Neurospora crassa OR74A: one gene and its partners. The main gene of each other region encodes a partner of the protein of the gene in region 2 in a complex. Links are inferred from orthologs where the notes say so. Each region holds a gene or a part of one and is shown on either strand. Other genes may lie near its edges.

The links.
Region 1: NCU02157 (region 2) and NCU00360 share a complex: the UniProt entries of both Saccharomyces cerevisiae proteins name them as parts of the multi-subunit COQ enzyme complex. The link is inferred for Neurospora crassa OR74A from reciprocal best matches to the Saccharomyces cerevisiae genes COQ4 and COQ11.
Region 3: NCU02157 (region 2) and NCU03957 share a complex: the UniProt entries of both Saccharomyces cerevisiae proteins name them as parts of the multi-subunit COQ enzyme complex. The link is inferred for Neurospora crassa OR74A from reciprocal best matches to the Saccharomyces cerevisiae genes COQ4 and CAT5.

Annotation. Positions count from the first base shown.
Region 1 is NC_026503.1:3,572,546-3,579,231, reverse strand, and holds NCU00360 (NAD dependent epimerase/dehydratase), read right to left. Parts: upstream 3,682-6,686; 5' UTR 3,466-3,681; coding exon 3,359-3,465; intron 3,276-3,358; coding exon 2,516-3,275; 3' UTR 2,375-2,515; coding exon of another isoform or gene 1,355-2,374; 3' UTR 1,312-1,354; downstream 1-1,311. Other genes in the region: NCU00361 (pre-mRNA-splicing factor syf-2), read left to right, coding at 1,355-2,374; NCU00359 (YEATS family protein), read left to right, coding at 4,136-4,370, 4,449-5,143; NCU00358 (hypothetical protein), read right to left, coding at 5,424-6,157, 6,230-6,493, 6,553-6,686. UniProt on the Saccharomyces cerevisiae protein: Component of MIOREX complexes, large expressome-like assemblies of ribosomes with factors involved in all the steps of post-transcriptional gene expression. Component of a multi-subunit COQ enzyme complex required for coenzyme Q biosynthesis.
Region 2 is NC_026501.1:1,054,479-1,060,023, reverse strand, and holds NCU02157 (COQ4), read right to left. Parts: upstream 3,197-5,545; 5' UTR 3,067-3,196; coding exon 2,802-3,066; intron 2,723-2,801; coding exon 1,944-2,722; 3' UTR 1,828-1,943; downstream 1-1,827. Other genes in the region: NCU02155 (hypothetical protein), read left to right, coding at 1-432; NCU02156 (dsDNA-binding protein PDCD5), read left to right, coding at 1,011-1,034, 1,176-1,291, 1,388-1,673; NCU02158 (hypothetical protein), read left to right, coding at 3,777-3,983, 4,041-5,348. UniProt on the Saccharomyces cerevisiae protein: Lyase that catalyzes the C1-decarboxylation of 4-hydroxy-3-methoxy-5-(all-trans-hexaprenyl)benzoic acid into 2-methoxy-6-(all-trans-hexaprenyl)phenol during ubiquinone biosynthesis.
Region 3 is NC_026506.1:2,238,879-2,244,654, reverse strand, and holds NCU03957 (COQ7), read right to left. Parts: upstream 3,117-5,776; 5' UTR 2,843-3,116; coding exon 2,072-2,842; 3' UTR 1,564-2,071; downstream 1-1,563. Other genes in the region: NCU03956 (hypothetical protein), read left to right, coding at 3,764-3,975, 4,198-4,904, 4,966-5,105, 5,162-5,776. UniProt on the Saccharomyces cerevisiae protein: Catalyzes the hydroxylation of 2-hexaprenyl-3-methyl-6-methoxy-1,4-benzoquinol (DMQH2) during ubiquinone biosynthesis.

The DNA of each region.
Region 1 (6,686 bases), on a different chromosome or scaffold from region 2:
TATTGGATGTGCGAAGCTGGCGGCATAGGGCATAGGGCAAGAGGGTGACGGAGAGAAGGAGAGCACTCGGTGAACCATCAATCAGTCAAGTAAACCCTCCTTCCCTCTTGACCGGTTGCACCCGCCCGCGGTGCCTTCCATTTTCTCCTCATCTCCTCGACCGGTCTGCCTAATATTCCTTTCATATTGGTTGCGATGCCGTGTTCTGTGTAACAGGTACAAAGGTACTTTATGGTCAAGAGTGCAAGTTCAATCTGGTCGAAGACGGCACGGAGAAGGTACGAGGCGGGCCGAGACGTTCAACTCCCCCCTCTTGGCGCTGTCTGCAAAATCTGGGGAAGGAGCGCTAGAAAGCCGCTACAGTCAAGTCTGTACATAACGATATGTGCTTACCCCTTGGATTTGATCGTTATTCCCAGATTATCGCAACCTTCAGTAGTGCCAAGCACGCCAAGACTGACTCGAACAGGTACTTGGGTACCAAAAAGCAGTGGTTAAGGTACAGCCAAAGGATGAGTTGGGAATATTTCCATATCTACCACCTAATAGGTATAACAATCACCATACAAACTGAGCCTGAATATTAATCGTAATTGCAATACGGAATACAATCAAGTCTGTACATAACGATATAAGGTATAACAATATCATGTAAATAACGATCAATTTCACTGCCACCGTTCCAGTTGTATGGTGATTTCAGCAGTATAACAATATATTCCGTATTGCGATTACAATTAATATTCAGGCTCAATTTGTATAGTGATCGTTATACCTATTAGGTGGTAGATATAGGAAATATTTCCAACTCATCCTTTGGCTATACTTTAACTATTGCTTTTTGGTACCCAAGTACCTATTCGAATCAGTCTTAGTATACTTAGTACTACTAAAGGTTGTAATGATCTAGGAACAACGATCAAATCCAAGGGGTAAGCACATATCGTTATATACAGACTTGACTGTATATCGTTATACTGCTGAAATCACTATACAACTGGAACGGTGGCAGTGAAATTGATCGTTATTTACACGATATCGTTATACCTCATATCGTTATATACAGACTTGACTGTAGTAAATGTCCTGTAATGATCGGCGCTAAACCTAAAAGACAGGCTCTCACGGCCCACTTATGCATCACTCTATCGTATACAATCGCTGTAGAAAGGCTTGCTCAGCATTCCACTTTCCGTCTTGCCAGGCACTGGCCCTAGCGTCCAGACCAGCCCAGGCACAGCACAGCAGCTTCAGAGAGGCTGTTTTCTTTCCGCTTCATTGACACAATCCGGATTTCACACCACACAACTACTTACCCACACAACACATCTCAACAAAACGAAGTCTATTGAAAATGCCTCCTGAAAAGAAAAGAAAGACCGAGCCCGAAGACAAGGCAGAAGTCACTCAACAAGAAAACGACGTCGCCGAGTCCACGACAGAGCCAAATAATCAGACCGTGACCGATTCCAAGGAGGAGCCATCGGTCACAGAAGCAGCGCTCGCAACGACGTCATCTTCATCACCACCGGTTCTATCAGCCTCGGAGACCGCACAACCTGACACCGCAGCAACATCTCAGTCCTCGTCAACTCCACCCACATCCACCTCTGCTGCAGAGTCTGCGGCCGCCAAAGCTCGCGAGCGTGCCGAGCGTTTCCGTGCCCTCCAAGCCCGCGCCAAGTCATCCTCGCAGCAAAATCTCAAAAAAGCCACCAAAGAATCCCAGCGCCTCCAGAGCGACCCTAGTCAACTCACTGCCCTCGGCCGTCGCCACGCGATTGCCTCCCACAAGCTGCTGAAAGCCGACATTGAAGATGCCGGGGGCGACTTTGAGCGCAAGCGGGCTTGGGACTGGACGGTCGAGGAATCAGAGCGGTGGGACAAGCGCATGAAAAAGAAGGAGGCGCACCGCGATGACACTGCCTTCCGCGACTACAACCAACAAGCCGAAAAGTCCTACAAGCGGCAACTGCGCAACATGGGAGGCCCCGATCTGGAGAGGTACACGCGCGAAAAGTTGGCGGCGATCGAAAAGGCTGCGGCGGCTGGCACATTGGAGATTGTTGAGACAGAGGATGGAGAGATGATTGCGATTGACAAGGACGGCACCTTCTTTAGCACGGCAGACTCGACGCAGTTCGCACAACACAAGCCCGACAAGGCGGCCGTTGATCGACTGGTGGCCGATATGCGCAAGGCCGAGGAGGCCAGCCTTAAGAAAAGGAGGGAGCGCATGGCGAACAACGGCGACGACGCGGACGTCACGTACATCAACGAGAAGAACAAGCAGTTCAACCAGAAGCTGTCGAGGTTCTATAACAAGTACACGGCAGAGATTAGGGACAGCTTTGAGAGAGGAACCATGGTTTAGGGTAACTCTGGGCTTCGTGCGAAGAGGAAACGGCGTTGAAGGATTGATTATTGGTTTTTATATGTCAAGCATCATCGTTTTATACATTGCCAAGGTTATGATTCAGGTAAAATACAGACCATTTGAGCCGATTTTTTGCTCTCAAAGCATAGTTCTCCTCCAACCCTTGTTCGCCAAAGTCTCCAGCTCGGGGACCTCAACTGCCCCTTTAACCGCTGTATCGTCCAATCCTTCCACCACCGCCTCCGCAACCAGATCTGCCTTGAGAGGCTTCGTCCCCGCACTCCCCAAGAAGTCTGATAGCACTCCTCCTGTGGCCCCGTTGAAGATACTTCCCGCCATGGTCATCGCCGCCAGCGGCATCGTCACAGGCCGCGAGCTGTCGTACATGAATGGCGGCCTGAAGAATACACTCCGCATGTCGGGAAACTCCCGCGCGATCACGTCCTCAGCCTCCCTCTTGGTTGAGATATACCTGCTCGGCAACACGGGCGCTCCTCCCGCAGCCGAGATGTATCCAAAGCCCTTAACGCCTTTGTTAGCGGCCTCCTTGGCGAGCAGGATGGCGCTATCGCGGTTCATCATCTCGTAGGTCAACTGGTTCGCGTTGGTCGGAGGACGGAGCTCGTCATCGGGACGACGCTGGAGCGGGTTTGGGGTGTGACGGGGCGAGAAGGCCTTCTGGAGGCCTGCAATAGGAGATTCCCGACCGGAGATGACGCCCTTGTAGTCGGCTTCGAGGAGGATGCCCAGAGAATGGACGACATAGTCAGCACCGTTCAGGAGGGCAATCCACTCGGCGGGGCGGAAGATGTCAGCGCGCTCCCAGGAAACGGCGGTCGACCAGGAGGGAGCGGAGGGGGAGGCGGATACGGAAGACCAGTTCGGTTGGCCGGAGCGACTGGACGTAGAAGAGGTGGTCAGTTCATCCATTTGTAAAGGGTGGAATGATAAGCTATGGAGGATAGTGTTGGAGTATGATACCTAATTGATGTCACATCCCATCCTCTGTGGACAGCCGCCTGACAGATCCTGGAGCCGAGGAAACCGTTGCCTCCGGCGACGATAAGCTTCTTTGCGGCGGACGACATGATGGAAGCTTGCTTGAGGGTGAGAGCTTGGGAAGAAGGATATTATCTCAAGAATAGGTAGCTCAAACACATTGGCTGGTCAGGTTCTTTTTATGTTTATCAGACTCTTTCTCGGCAAACTAGGTTATGCTTCCAGGTTTCCTCTCCGATTTTCTCTCCGCAGAAGTAAACAATCGAAACCCCAGACGATTGCATCATGGAGAGCCTCGATCCGTTATCCAGACTCGAAAAATCCTTATCGAACAATCATCTACAAGGGTGGCACTGATGTCTTTCGATAAATTAGCAGCGCCAAGGGTCCGCTAAACCCCGGAGGGAAAGGGAACCTTAGCAGTTGGGCTTCTCTGCCCCGCATTCAAGGCTGGAACACACCCAACTTTTTTCTCCATCCTTCATGCAGGTACCTTGCTGGTGGTGGCACTTTTGTAATCCTGTAATCATCATTTTGTTCTCTTTGCGCCATCTTCACTTCTTCAAGAATCACGCCTCCCGTACACAGTCATCTAGTCGTATTCAGGTCTGATAAACGACTTGCGTTTGCCCAGCTATATCGCTATAGCTATAGCTTTACCAGTTGGCCTACCGCGTCTGTCGAAACCACCGCGAAACAGCGCGAATCTCCACACTTCGAACAGCTTCAACCTATCCATAACCATCACCGCCAAACAAGATGGCACCACCTACAGGCAAGCGTGTCAAGGGCGTTCAAATATTTCGACCCTTCGTTTACGGAACAACAGCACGGCCCTTCGACGAAAAGACCAACCCCAAACCACCCGGCATTCCAGATGATCACACGCACTCCTGGACCGTTTTCATCAAGGGCATCGACGATGTGGACATTACGTACTGGCTTCGGCGCGTTCAGTTTAAGCTTCACGAGTCCATTCCAAACCATGTTCGAAGTACGTCCCTACCTCCGGTTCTCAAACCTCCCTCCATCCCCTTCGACCTAAGCTAATCAACCGTGTCCCTCCGTCCAGTGGTAGAAGGGGTCAAAGGCCAACCCTTCCAAATACACGAGACCGGCTGGGGTGAGTTCGAAATCACCATGAAGCTGTACTACGTCCCCGAATCCTCCGAGAAGCCTCAAACGCTCTATCACCATCTGCGCCTGCACCCATTCGGCCGCACCGAAGAAGAGAAGGAGGCTATGCGCCTCAACGGCGGCGAGGTCATTTCCTGGGTATACGAGGAACAGATCTTCAACGAACCCTACGAGCCCTTTTACGATATCCTCATCTCCGGCGCCCTCCCGCCATCGGCTTCAACACTGAAAGACGGCGGCGGCGGCGGCGGTAGTGGCGCCGCGACGCCGACCAGTGCGAACACGCCCGGGGCGAGCAGCAGCAAGGGCGGAAATAAGAAAGGGCACGAGAGGAGTCACTCGCGGGCTAGTGTGAGCACGAACAAGGACGGGAAGAACAATAACGAGTCAAAAGAGGAGCCGTTCGTGATACAAAAGTCCGAGGGAGGCGTGCTGGAGAGGAGCGCGATGATCCCTCTGGTTAATAGACCCGGGCAGCCGTTCAGTCGGGAGACGGAACAGTTGGAGATTCAGAAGCTCAAGGAGGCGAAGCTAAAGGTGGATGAGATGAAGAAGCAGATGATGGAGGAGTTGGAGAAGAAGCAGAAACGGCTGGAGGCACTGAGGGCGGAGAGCGCTAAGGCTCCCTAGAAGGAAGTCGAGGAGCGTTCAGCGCAGAAGGCAGCTCGGAGGCGGCGTTCCCGTGTGGCATCTGATCCGGATTATGTTGAGTAAAGGGAGTTGTGGCGTTCATGGGTGCTAAACAGCCAGGGTGTCACAAATTGCATTGCTAGTGTTGGGTAAGGAAAAACGGCGCTTTATCGTTCATCATTTAGGGTTGTTCAAGGCCAGCACGGCACCGAACCATCACCATTACAAGTGCCCATCCATCTCCCTTGAAAGCCCATGACAACATCAATGGCATAAACTCTCAGGCCGCCTCCCCTGCCCCAACCTCCATGAAACACCTCGTCCGGATCCTCGGCACCTCCACCCCCTCATAATACCCCCCCTCTTTCAACACCTCATCCATCCCCTTCCAATACTCCAACTTAGCCTCCCAATTCTTCTTATCCAAATCCGCCAGCTTGGCTTCCACCTTCAAGCCTGCCTTCGAGTCTTCCGATATTCTCACAAAACAGGTACAATCCCTCAACGTCATCGCCAACGCCAGCTTCTCCTGGTCACTCGTCCCCTCCGGCGCCGGGTCCAAGCTCTCTTGCGCGTCCCGCAGCTTGGGCAGCAACGAATTGCTTTGCAGCCAGTGAACAAGCGCGACGCGGTAGCGCTCGTCTACTTGGTCCATTCCTGGCCTGCCATCGTCCTCGCCATCCAGAGAAACAGCCGGTTGCACACCAACGGGATTCTCCCTCGTCGCTGGCTTGGTGTCCAATGAAGCGGAGATGGCAGAAAGGTTCATGGATGCGATGACTCGGGCTAGAGAGCAGGGCGAGGATTGAGCGGCTAGGTACTCGAGGGGGCAGAACGGTGGCTCGTGGCTAAGGGCACAGGAGGAGTTTTGGTCGGAGGAAGCGGAGCGAAGCGATTTGTGTAGGCGGTAGGCTTCGCGGGCACAGTTACGGCAGCGCGTGGCGGTAGAGGGGGCGGAGGGGGAAGGGGTGAGCCATTTGGGTTTGAATTCTAGAAGGAAGTCTAATGGGGATTCTGTGGAGGGGGGATTTAAGTTAGAGACAAAAGTACTGGAGGGAAAGCGGAGAAGGGTGAAGAGGGACGAACTCTTCCTCATATCCTCAACCAACATGCCATACTCGGCCTCGGCCACCTTGGTACCCTGGAAATCTGCCCTACGCTGGGCGTCTTCATTTTCAAGAATTGCATTGAGTTGCGAGACGACGGAATTGTTTAGACGAATGAGGTACTGCTGTACTAGGTCTTCCTGGGGGTTATCGAAGAGTGGACTGATGGATGACTCCCAGTACTGAAGGATTTCGGGGTGTGGAAAGGCTTTGGTATTGGCCTTTGGTACTCGTAAGAGTTTCCCTGTGATGATCTTAGTATTGACGTCTCATGTGGTGAATAGGGCTAAAGGTAATAGTCACCGTGTAGGATGTCCAAGATCTGACTATCGCCATCATCCTGAGTGGTGATGTCTTCCTCAGGAAAGACAACCTCAAAGACTATGTTGGCGGCGCCTTCACCGATGAACTTGAACTGGCAATTGGTGCCTTTCAAG
Region 2 (5,545 bases):
GACAAGCTGCTATCCGAGGTTGCCGATGTGGTTTCCCACTTGCCTGAGCTGAAGGGCTTGGAGCAATTCCGCGTCGCCAACACCCTACCGTACATGCGGTCGGAAGTGTTCCACAGGTTAAAGAGGAAGGGAACTTCTGACAGTCCCATGCGCAGGTTGACTGCCAGGGGTTTGGACACTGATATTGGATATGTGACTGGCTATTTCGTCATGCGCGGCAAGACACTCGGTCTTTCCGTGAACGCTCTTGACAGTATCTGGTCAGCCGTCAAGGCTAAGCAGAAGGTTTTGGCAGAGAGGAGGAAGAGGGAGATTCCGTTCGAGGTTCCTTATCAGCCGAAACTTGTTCCTCATGTTCCGGAGCCGTATACCCATTATCCCGACAGGCTCTGGCCCATGCCTCTCAAAAATATTCTCAACAAGATTAGATGATGTATAGATCACGGGGTCGTATGACCAATATTTACTGCATATATAGACGGATAAACAGAATTATGGCGATAAAAGGTGTTATGGCGGAAGTGGTCGTGGTTTTTGGAGACGGATCATCCTGTACATACCTATATTTTTAGTTTTGCATATGAATAGCATGGCATTATGAAGATCCGGTCTAATACTGTGCTCAAGTGTACCCCTTTTCTGCCCGGCATTGGCCGCGTTGTCTTGACTTTTCGTCTGTCACCAATCCTGCCCCTGTGGTGTTCGAGGTGCCTCCAGCAACTGGTATTCTAGATGCTGCTGTGTAAACAATACCGTTGCAATACCCCTATTGTGACCCTGATCAGATCCGCTACCTACGTAACTTATCGCTATGCCTGCCCCACTAAAAACTTCCCTCAAGACCCCAAGCAACCCCGCGATCGCCGTGCTTCCCTTCCGTCCATCATCGCAACAACCTAAACCTCCTACAGCAAACCAAGCGCTTTACCACACTTCAAACACTCAAGAACCATTTCTCCAACCCTTAAGCTAGTCGCCAACCTACCGCGAATCCAACCAACTCGTCAAAGATGGATGACTCTGAGCTCGAGAAGGTGCGCATCCCATCTCCATTTTCCCGCCAGCCCATGGTAGCATCGACAGACATTCACAGATGCGGCGCACGAATTACACCTTGATGGCTGTATACAGTAACAACACGATTTATAGGTACTAACACTTTTACTTTTGGACAGATCAGGAAGGCCCGTCTTGAACAGCTCAAGGCGCAAGGCGGCGGCGGCGGTGGTGGTCCCAAGGCCGGTGGTCCCTCTGGCGCCGGTGGGCAAGGTGGTCAGGAAGCTTCTAGACAGTAAGTTACGGCCTCTCCGTCATGTTCCCGTCCCGCGCCCCCACCTCTCCCTTTGCAAATGCTGACAGCACCTCCTCTTTTCTTTCCTACAAACAGACAAGAAGCCGAAGCCCGCAAAGCCATGCTCAACCAGATCCTCATGCCCGAAGCCGCCGATCGGCTGGGCCGCATCCGACTCGTCAAGGAGGAGCGCGCGACCGACATTGAGAACCGGCTGATGATGCTGGCGCAGACGGGGCAGCTCCGCTCGAAAGTGACGGAAGAGCAGCTCAAGGAGCTGCTGAACGCCGTGGCGGATAACAAGGAGGCGGAGAAGATTGTAGTGACGAGGAGGAAGGGGTGGGGGTTGGATGATGATGATGATGATTTGTTTGATTTGTAGGTGGGACAATGGGTTGGGACAGAGTGATATACCTGGGAGAAAGGGGGAACGAAGGAGTTCTATGGCCCTAACGGTTTTTAATGGGATTATCGCTTTCTTATGAATGACATGAGGACACGATAGTCCATATCCAAGTTTGGGAGCACGAACGAGATGGAGTCAAAGAGGCGTTGTCATAAATTCGCTGAAGCTGGGAATACAATATGTTCTACATTAGTTTCACAGAGGTGATCGGGTCCATCATACCCCCATCGATGCCCCACGATCCGTCTATCCTCTCATAGCCGAAGACCCGACAACCTCGCCAACCTTCTCAACCACCTCATTCCTCATCTCCTTCACCCGTTCCGCCACCACTTCAGCTTCCTTCTCCGCCTTCTGGATGACGTCCTCTGTCCCGCGCCCGCTCAGCATCCGTTCCATCTCCTTTCTCCTCCTCTTCTCTTCCCTCTCCCGCTTCCTGATCTCCCTCAGATCCGGCGGCGGTTCCACGCCCAACTCCCTCCTCAAATCATTTACATCCCGCTCCAACTCCTCCTCCCAAAAGACGTTAATCACCTCCTTGGCCCGCAGTCCATTCTTAACTGCCCAGGGGAAGTAAATCTTCCTAAACCGCTTCTGCTCGCTCTTCTTCATCGTGAACGCCGCGAAAACGCTGAACCCCGTCATCGGCAACAGGGTATTCGCAAACTCAAACGCCTTCAGCGCCACCTCGCCCTCCCGGACGATCGGCAAGCCCGTCAAAGCGTGGTAGAAATCGTGGCACTCGCGGTACCGCTGCATCACGTATGCGCACTCCTCGTCGTCGATGTACCGCACCGCCGAGCGCGTATCGGGAGATACCCCTTCGCGGTCGAGCCAGTCAATGTAGGTTCGTCCGACGGTGTTGGGCGGCAGGGAACGCAGGTAAGGGATGTTGAGAGATTGGGAGGTGATGCGCGGTCGTTGGCGCAGGATGCGACGTCCCGTGGGGTGGGACAGCATGGCGTCGCGCAGGCGGTAGATGAAGTAGGGCGTTGCGGTGGCTTCGGCGAAGGAGGCTATTAGGTCTGTGGGAATATCAAGAGGGTGATTAGTTTAGTTGGACAGGAGACTAGGTGGTGGGAGATGGACGGGGACGAAACGGACCGCCGCGCAGGGGGTCGGCGAGGGAGATGAGGCCTGAGCCGACGAAGAGGCCGAAGCGCTCGAGGCGGGTGAGAGGGACATGGCCAGGGTAGTTTGGTGGTGGGCGGTTAAGGGCCGAGAATTGTCTTGTTTGCTGTGTCTGGATCTGGGTCGGTGGTGTTGGTGATGTGCTGCTGATGGCGGCGCATACGGCAGGCCGGATTGCATTCTGGCTGCTGGCGCGAGCTACTAGAGCCGCGGATCGTCTGAGGGCCGTCACTTCCATTGTCAAGCGCAATTCGAACAACCAGGAGGAAGCCCTAGGGTTGGAGTAGAGATGGAGATGGACGAGGAACGCGCAATTCCTCCAGAGCTCGAGTGGTTGTCAAGTTGCAAGTGGTGGTTCGATCCGTTCGGATGCGGAAACCGAGCATGTAACAACTGCGATAACGACAGCGATAAGGACTTACGTAGGGGCCGCGGTACCTCTAGCTCAAGGTGAGGGGAGCTCCTGCTCGGTGAAAGTCGAGGTATGCCAACTCACCGTGGGGGATGATAAATACCGTAAAATACGTTGCACAGGACAATTGCGTAACTTTCACTTCAGTTCACTCTTTCTTGACGACCACTTGAACCCCATCTTAGACCTATGCAAGGGCTAGTGTAACCAGTCCCGCTCAAACAACTCCCAAAGAGGAAATCAAGCTTCCATCCAAGACCTCTGATCGAGATCCATAGTCTCTAGAAACAGGTATGTAGGCGAGAAATTGGAACAGGTGGAAGGTTTCAGCCGGTTGCTTGACAGGATGCAGTGACACCCTGGGATTTATGCCTTTGTTTTCACTCTCACTTACACTTCACTGGTTTAATACACATCATCTTCTATCACTCTTTGGCCTTCACCTATTGATTTTCCTACACCTAAGTTTTGTTGCAAATACGTGACTCTTTTGGTTACTCCCCAACTGTATCACGTTTACACAGTATCTGATCAAAATGGCAAAAAGAAAACGCGAAGCAGCAGCAAAGGAGAAGGTTGGGAAGAGGAACACCCGAGAAGAAGATCAGATAGAAGCATCCGATATGGAAGCATACGAAGAACTGCTCATATGGGCAAAAGATAGAGGTATCATCCTCAACGGCGTCGAGCCTAGACGGATACCAGGCCGAGGTATGGGAATAGTGGCTACAAAGCCACTCGAGGTAAGTCATTCTCATCATGTTGGACTATTGGTTCAAATCAACTAACAATATCATCAGGAAGATGAAACTATTCTAACAGTTCCCTCTACCACCCTCCGGACGTATGAAACCGTCCACCCTTCCATATCCCGTGCCCTGCCTAAGGACATATCCATCCACGGCCTCCTAGCCGCCGATCTTGCCTTCGACCCTTCTCCGTCCGCCAAGTATCGGCAATGGAACGCCGTCTGTCCTTCGCGTAAAGATATGTGGGACTATTTGCCTCTAACATGGGATCACCGACTACGACAGTTTCTGCCCAGAAAGGCGCTGGAGTTACTTCTAAAACAGGAGGCCAAATTTGAGAAGGACTGGTCCATGGTCCAACAGTCTAAGCTCCTCTCTTCAGGGCCTGGCAAGAAAGAGAACAAGAGCTTGGAAGAGGAAGATTGCGGAACACTGAATAAGAGCATAACAAGAGATGACTACCTCTATGCCTGGCTCCTCGTCAACACCCGCACCTTCTACCATGAAACTCCAAAGACGAAGAAGTTCAATAAAGATGACAGAATGGTCCTGCAACCAGTCGCAGACTTGTTTAACCACACCTCCTACGACCCATCAGCCGAGAAGAAGGAAGGCAACAAGAAAACCTGCTCAGTCGCCTTCTCACCGACCGCCTTTACCATCACCACCACCCGCCCTTACGCCGCCGGCGAAGAAGTTTACATCTGTTACGGCAACCACTCCAACGATTTCCTCCTGATCGAATATGGCTTTCTCTTTGACGAAAATGTCTGGGACGAAGTCTGCATAGATGATGCCATCCTTCCTTTACTCGACCAAGCCCAAACCCACTCCCAATCCCAACAACAGCAGCAGCAGCAACCACCAAGGAAAGTAACTCGAAGACTCAACGAACGAGGCAAAAAAGACCTCAAGCCACAAGCGTCCCAACAGCAACCACCAAAATCCCCCAAAGAAGTCCTCGAGGAAACCGGCTTCCTAGGCAACTACAATCTCGATCCGCGCAACCCCACAGGCTGCTACCGCACACAGGTCGCACTTCGCGCCCTTGCCGCTCTCGCAGACAGCGCAGGGCCGCAAGGTGAAAAGAAGTTCCGGGCCTTCATCGACTACGGCCAAGACCCGTGGGAGGAATCGCTGGAGGAACAAGCGAAGCTGAATGCATTGCTGGCACAAGCGCTTAAGCGTTGGAGCTCAGATGCTATTGAGAAGAAGATTCGGGACGGGTTGGATAAGTTGGAGTGGAGGGAGGGACATGAAGGTGTAGTGGGGAGGGAGTGTCATAGAGGGCTGTTGTCGATGAGGTGGATGCAGGTGAAGAGGATGGTTGATAGGGCTTTGAAGGAGCTTGAGGGCTGAGAGGTGAAGACTGCCCGGGTTTTTGGGGAGGGAGGAGAGGAGAGTGGGACAGCAGAAAAACCGAGGGTTGTGTCGCAGGCTGGGAATATAGATGGACAGCTCAACTTGACCATCGCACGACGAAACATGTATGTTGATTCGATTGCCGGCGTGGATGCTGACTGTGCGGTTTGTTTAGCGACTGCGTATCTGTCATT
Region 3 (5,776 bases), on a different chromosome or scaffold from region 2:
TCCGGGTCTGTCGTTATGTGACGCCGAGGTTCGCCTGCGTTTACTGTGCCTGGGCGTGCCTGGTTGAACCTGGTCAATGGTCATGCTGTCTCACTCAAATATCACCATCAACGAGTCGCCGACCGTTGCATTCGGCACTTTGTCTTTCCATTACTACATCAAAGAACGGTTTCTCGCCTTCCCGACTACATACCTAGGTGATCATCCAGCGACCAGCGGCCTGTCTTGATATTACTTGACCTCACTTAGGTATCCGTTCTCGTTGCGCCTTACCGCCGCCATTGCTTCCACTGTCTCACGTGTATAGGCAATTTCATTCAACAACAACGTCCATTGACGAAGAGAAAACACAGAAAAGAGGTCAGGCCCAGATAGTACCAGCACATAAAACTCCATGGCCCCTGTCCGCCCAAACAATTCCGCCTCCGCACTAGCGCCGTCCACTCCCAACCCATCACTGTGATCCTTTCCCCCTGGCGGCCCTGAAACAATCCAGGTACGCTAGCCAATCCAGGTCCTGATTGGCCAGAAACCCTTAAAGACTCACAACTCCCGGCGCTTGCAGACGGCCATCGTTAACCAATCGGACAAGGGCTTCGGCTTGGTTGCCGCTGTACTACTCGTACCTAGTGTCCACTATCCAACGACGTCCGGAGTGTCCAGGGGTGTGAGTGTGATATGGTGAACATGGGATGGGGGTTTTTTTTTCAATTTTTTTTTTCAATTTTTTTCTTTTTTTCCCAACGACAAGTGAACATGATATGATGATCCTGTCTCCTTTGTGCTTTTGTGTGTGTGTGTGTGTGTGTGTGTGTAAATGAAGTTGGTTGATAAATACCATGTGGGCTTGGTCACTGTGACCGTGATGGTCACTTTCACTTTCTTTTTCATGTCTCTTCTATTGCGCTACCTACCTATCCTTACCAGACAAACGGACGGGCCATTCGATAGTGCGAAGGTATATAAGGTGATGTTATGCTTCTGTTCTGTCCCGCATCAAATGTGATGCCCCCCGAGTAGTAATAGTGATTGATGCTGGTGAGTGTGGCACACATTATTCGTTACGAGGTGTCATGCGGATAGCTTGACTCTCATATGCCTTGTTCGAATGGCTTCCTCCGTGAGATGGGGTGTTATCTTCGCTCTCCTTGGTATCCCTCTTTCAACCTTTCAGTGATTTGAGGATGGCTTGATGATTGCAGCCCTGGCGGGTTGTCTTTTGTTGCGCTGTCTTTTCCCCAGAAGTCATCGACGCTTTGCCAATGAGGTTAGCATGCTATTTTACTCTTCTTTCCTCCAGCTTGGGACAATCAGGCTCACGAGAATCCAGCTCCTCGATCGCGGTCTCCGTACCTCCTCAAAAATATTAGGCCATTCCAACTAATCCAGCATGTTGACGTTGCGTCTTGAGATGATCCTAGAATGACTGAAGCACTGACGTTGTCGATGTGGGGAATTCATCCAAAAAAAAAAAAAAAAAAAAAAAAAAAAAAAAAAAAAAAAAAAAAAAGTGACACTCACCGCCGACTCGAGCAGCAGCCACAAGCGTACCCGGATATGAAACCAAAGCCTCAGCAATATTGAGCTTGTGATGTAGCCCATGAGTCGAGCCATCAGTGTTGCCAACTCATGCTTATCTTTGTGAAAGACGCGCAAAGAACAAGAGTGACCTAGATACCAATTCGAAGTGAACCCTCTTCTCTCCTAGTGACCTAAGCTACCCACGCCACGCGCTGATTTTCATATGGACTCCACACTAAAGCAAAATGAGCCACCTCTGCTCTTAGCAGTGATGCCTTGAGAAAGCGGCCATTTGTGAATGAGTGCTGTTGTCGAGGTGCTTCAAGAACTGAGTGAACTGGTCGAAACAGCACATCGGTGCTTTCGCTTCGTCGCCTACCCTCCCAATAAGCTAATAGTACAAACGGACAGGTTTGTAATCCGTGCTTTGCAGAGCATAATGCTAATGCTCCTGTCCCCTCATGAATTCGTTCTCATCTTCATCGACACAATCCTCCTTCAAAATTAACTTTTTTCCCTTCACGTACCGACCCCAAAGAAAACCCCCCTCTTACACCCTCTCACTAACCCAAATGGCACCTCTGCACCCCGCCCTAATCACCCCCGTCAACAACCAGTGCGGCTCCGCCTTCTGCGCATCATGTTCAACCGCATGATCCAGGTGCTCCAGCTCCTCATCCCGTATCCTCCTCAACGTGTTGATCAGATGCCTGAACTCTGCGCCAACCTCATACCCCTCAGCCTCCCACTCGCTCACCATCTCCAGCAGCTTACGGATCTGGGCATTATAATGGCCGCCAATCTCCGTCTCTACCGCCTCGGTGCACGCCATGGCTGCCTCCTTGCCCAGCATGGCGGTGCCCCAGCCCAAGCCCGTGGCCATGACGGACCAAAGCGGGTACAGCGCCGTGGGCCGTACGCGGTGGCGGTAGATCAGGTCGTTGAAGGTGCGCAGATGCGCCGCCTCTTGGTCGTACATGTGCTTCATGAGCGGGCGCAGCGAGGGGTCCCGGGTTACGAGAGGCGGGGTCTGGCCCGTGTAGATGAGGGTGGCGGCGAGCTCGCCGGCCTGGTTTACGCGGAGGGCGGACGAGAGGAAGGCGCGCTGCTCGGCAGTGAGGGGTTTTTTACCCTTGGAAGAACTTGTCGACGACCTGGAGTTTGGTGGTGGTGGTGCTGGGTTGGTCTCGGGGGTTGTGGAGGGGCTGTGGACATGCGAGGAGCTGGTATCAGGCGAGACGGGGGAGGAGAAGAAGCGCGCGGCGCATTGCCGGACCTGTCTGGTGGCCACGAGGGCTGGCCTGGTTGCTGGACGAAGCATGATATGGGCTGTGACGGTCTTTTCGGTCTTGCGTGTTGGAGGAAGACTTGGGACGAGTTGGTGAAAGCTGATGTTGCACGGACCGGAGGCGGTTGTTGCGACGGAGTACAGTAAGCTCGGGGGAGATGCGCCGAGGCCGAGTGAAAGACGGGACCTCGAAAGTCGGCCCACTTACAAAATCACGGCGACCTCGAACGGGAAGCTCCATCGCTGAGTGCTCCACAGGGCTGCCTGCACATGCGATGACGTTGGTCAAGCCAAGGGTCAAAAGGACGACGGGACTCAATTCAATTGGGCTTTTGCCGGGCCGGCAACGGGCCTGATCTAACCTTTGGGCGGTGTGGAACTTTTGGGCGCCTTGACCACCACCACCACTCACCAACTCCCGTCACGCCAAGCACTGCCCCTGGACGTTGAAGTTGTCCGTCAGGTCGCGCACAAGCGGGTGGAGTTCCAGGTCGCGCCGCCCAAGTTCCATAAAGTAGGTACTTACCTTACCATCAGCCTAGACCAGACCCCATTGAATTCCTATTGATAACTGCTGGACAATAGGAGTTCACCTCCCTTCTACTTATACTAACCTTTCTCTCATCCCGCTTTGGACTTTCTTGTCGCCTCACTCATTCATCGCTCCCGTCGCCGCCTCAACACCACCCGATTGCATAACGACTTTTTGATTTTGGCGCATTGTTAACCCACAATTGGGAGAACATTGTTGGTTCCGATCATATCCACCAACAAGTGTTTGGAAGAATCAGTTCGGCCCTTCACTCGACGTATCCCGACATCGCGTTCGCCATCTGCACCCGACGGTTTTCCATCGAACCCTGCTTTGCGCAGCAGCCATTGCATAGCCCTAGCGCTTACAGCCACACAGAAGCAGCTTTATAAGAACCGACAGCCCGTGACAGACAAGCGACCATGTCAGACATCGACGACGAGTTGCTCGCCCTTGCAGGCGGTGACGCCTCCGATGACAGCGGAGATGAGGCTATGGACATGAGCAGGGACGATTCCCGCTCCCCGTCACCAGAACCGAGGAAGAAGGATACGTCTACCAGGGGAACGGCCAAGAAGTCAGTGGGAAGGAAACGTGCCAGAAGCGATGACGAGTCGGAGGACGAGGGCCAGGCGTGAGTGCTTGTCTTTCTTTTCCTTCACCCAGCTCTCAGGTAGCCCTAGGGCTGCCGTTCTACATGTCACCCATGCGCCACATCGACCTCAGCCTACAGCTCGCCTTTATCAACCCCTTCTGCTCCTCCTCTTGCCTCCTTCCCTTCTTGATTCCTCTCAATCACCCCGCCCACCATGCTGCTCAAGATGATGGTCAAGGCTAAACAACTTCTCTTCGGCAGCTCTCCGCCGGGATCCCCGGACTCCCAAGCTTCTGCCCCCATGGACGAATCAGACTCAGACTCAGATGCCTCGCCGGCGAGGCGTAGTGTTGACGATGAGGTGAACCAGTACCCTGTCGACGGTCTCTTCCGCGACTACGAAGAGAAGGAGCAGATCATGGGCATGCGTGAAATCGAGAGGGAACAGATTCTGGCCGAGCGTCGAGAGGAGAATGAACGTATCCGCCAGAACCGCATGCTTCGCCAGCTGAAGGTCAACCAAGAGAAGAAGCGCAAGGCAAGCCTAGCCGAGCTCGATGATTCGTCACGCAAGACATCACGGGCTCGCACCAAGGCCGACGACAAGATGGATTCTCTCCGGCGGGCCCGGGAGGAACGCTCCAACCGCAAGGAGCAGCGAGAGCGGGAAAATGACCGTCGTAAGCGTTCGCCTTCGTACCGACGCAGCCCCGGTCGTGGTGATGATAGCGACGTGGACTGGGATGGCCCGAGCAACAAGAAGCACAGATCTCGTTCGCCAGAGAGCAGAGAAAGCCCGCCTGCTGAGCTTCGGGACTTTGAGCGTGTTCGTGTTGGCCGCAGTCGCTTTGCCGAGGTTGCTTTCTACCCCGGCTTTGATGAAGCACTCACAGGATGCTTTGTTCGCCTGAATATTGGTCCCGATCCCGACACTCGCCAGGATGTCTACCGTATGGCTCTCATTAAGGGTAAGATCATTCCCGTTAGACCCTTGTTAAGCTGAGATGTCGTTTAACGCTCGGAATGCAGGTTTCACTACCGGTAAGGCATATGCCTTGGAAGATCATCAGGGTCACCAAATGGTCGTCGATATGTATGTCAAGGCTGCCCACGGTAAAGCCGTCAGGGAGTGGCCTTTGATCACATGTTCCGACCGAAAGTTTACAGAGGTATGCGTGCCTGTTCTTTCCTCGCTTGTCATCATCTCTAATCAGACCCTCAACAGGCCGAGTACAACCGTTACAAACAAGTCTGTCTTGCCGAGGGTGTCCCCTTCCCAGACAAACAGACCCTTGTCGACAAGATCGATGACATCAACCGCCTCGTCCAGCGTACGTGGACCGAGCAGGAGCTCTCGGACAAGCTCAAGCGTCAGAACGCCCTGCAGGCCAAATTCTCTGGTGCCCAACGCGAATACCTCAAGAAGCAGCTCGACATCGCTCGCCAGGCCAACGACGAGGCCGCCATCGCCCGCTACCAGGAGCGTCTCGAGAAACTCGAGGTGCCCCGCCTTGCCTTCCGTACCTCCCTCACCAAGAAAGACGGCAAGAAGGAGCTGACCCAGCAGGAGAAGCTGGCGCTCAAAAACATGGAGAACCGCCGGCGCAATGCCGAAGAGGTCCGCAAGGCTCAGCTTCGCGAGCGTGCCAAGGCTCGTCAAATCGAGAGGAAGATTGAGCGTGGCGAGGCCGTCCAGGAGGACATGAGCCGCAGGCTCATTACCAGGCCCAAGTTCGTGCACGACTCGTCCGAGAAGGCCACGCCGAGTCCGTCCAAGGCAGGAACCCCTGCGCCGGACACGCCGTCAAAGAGCGAGTCCAAGAACAGCAACGGAGTATTG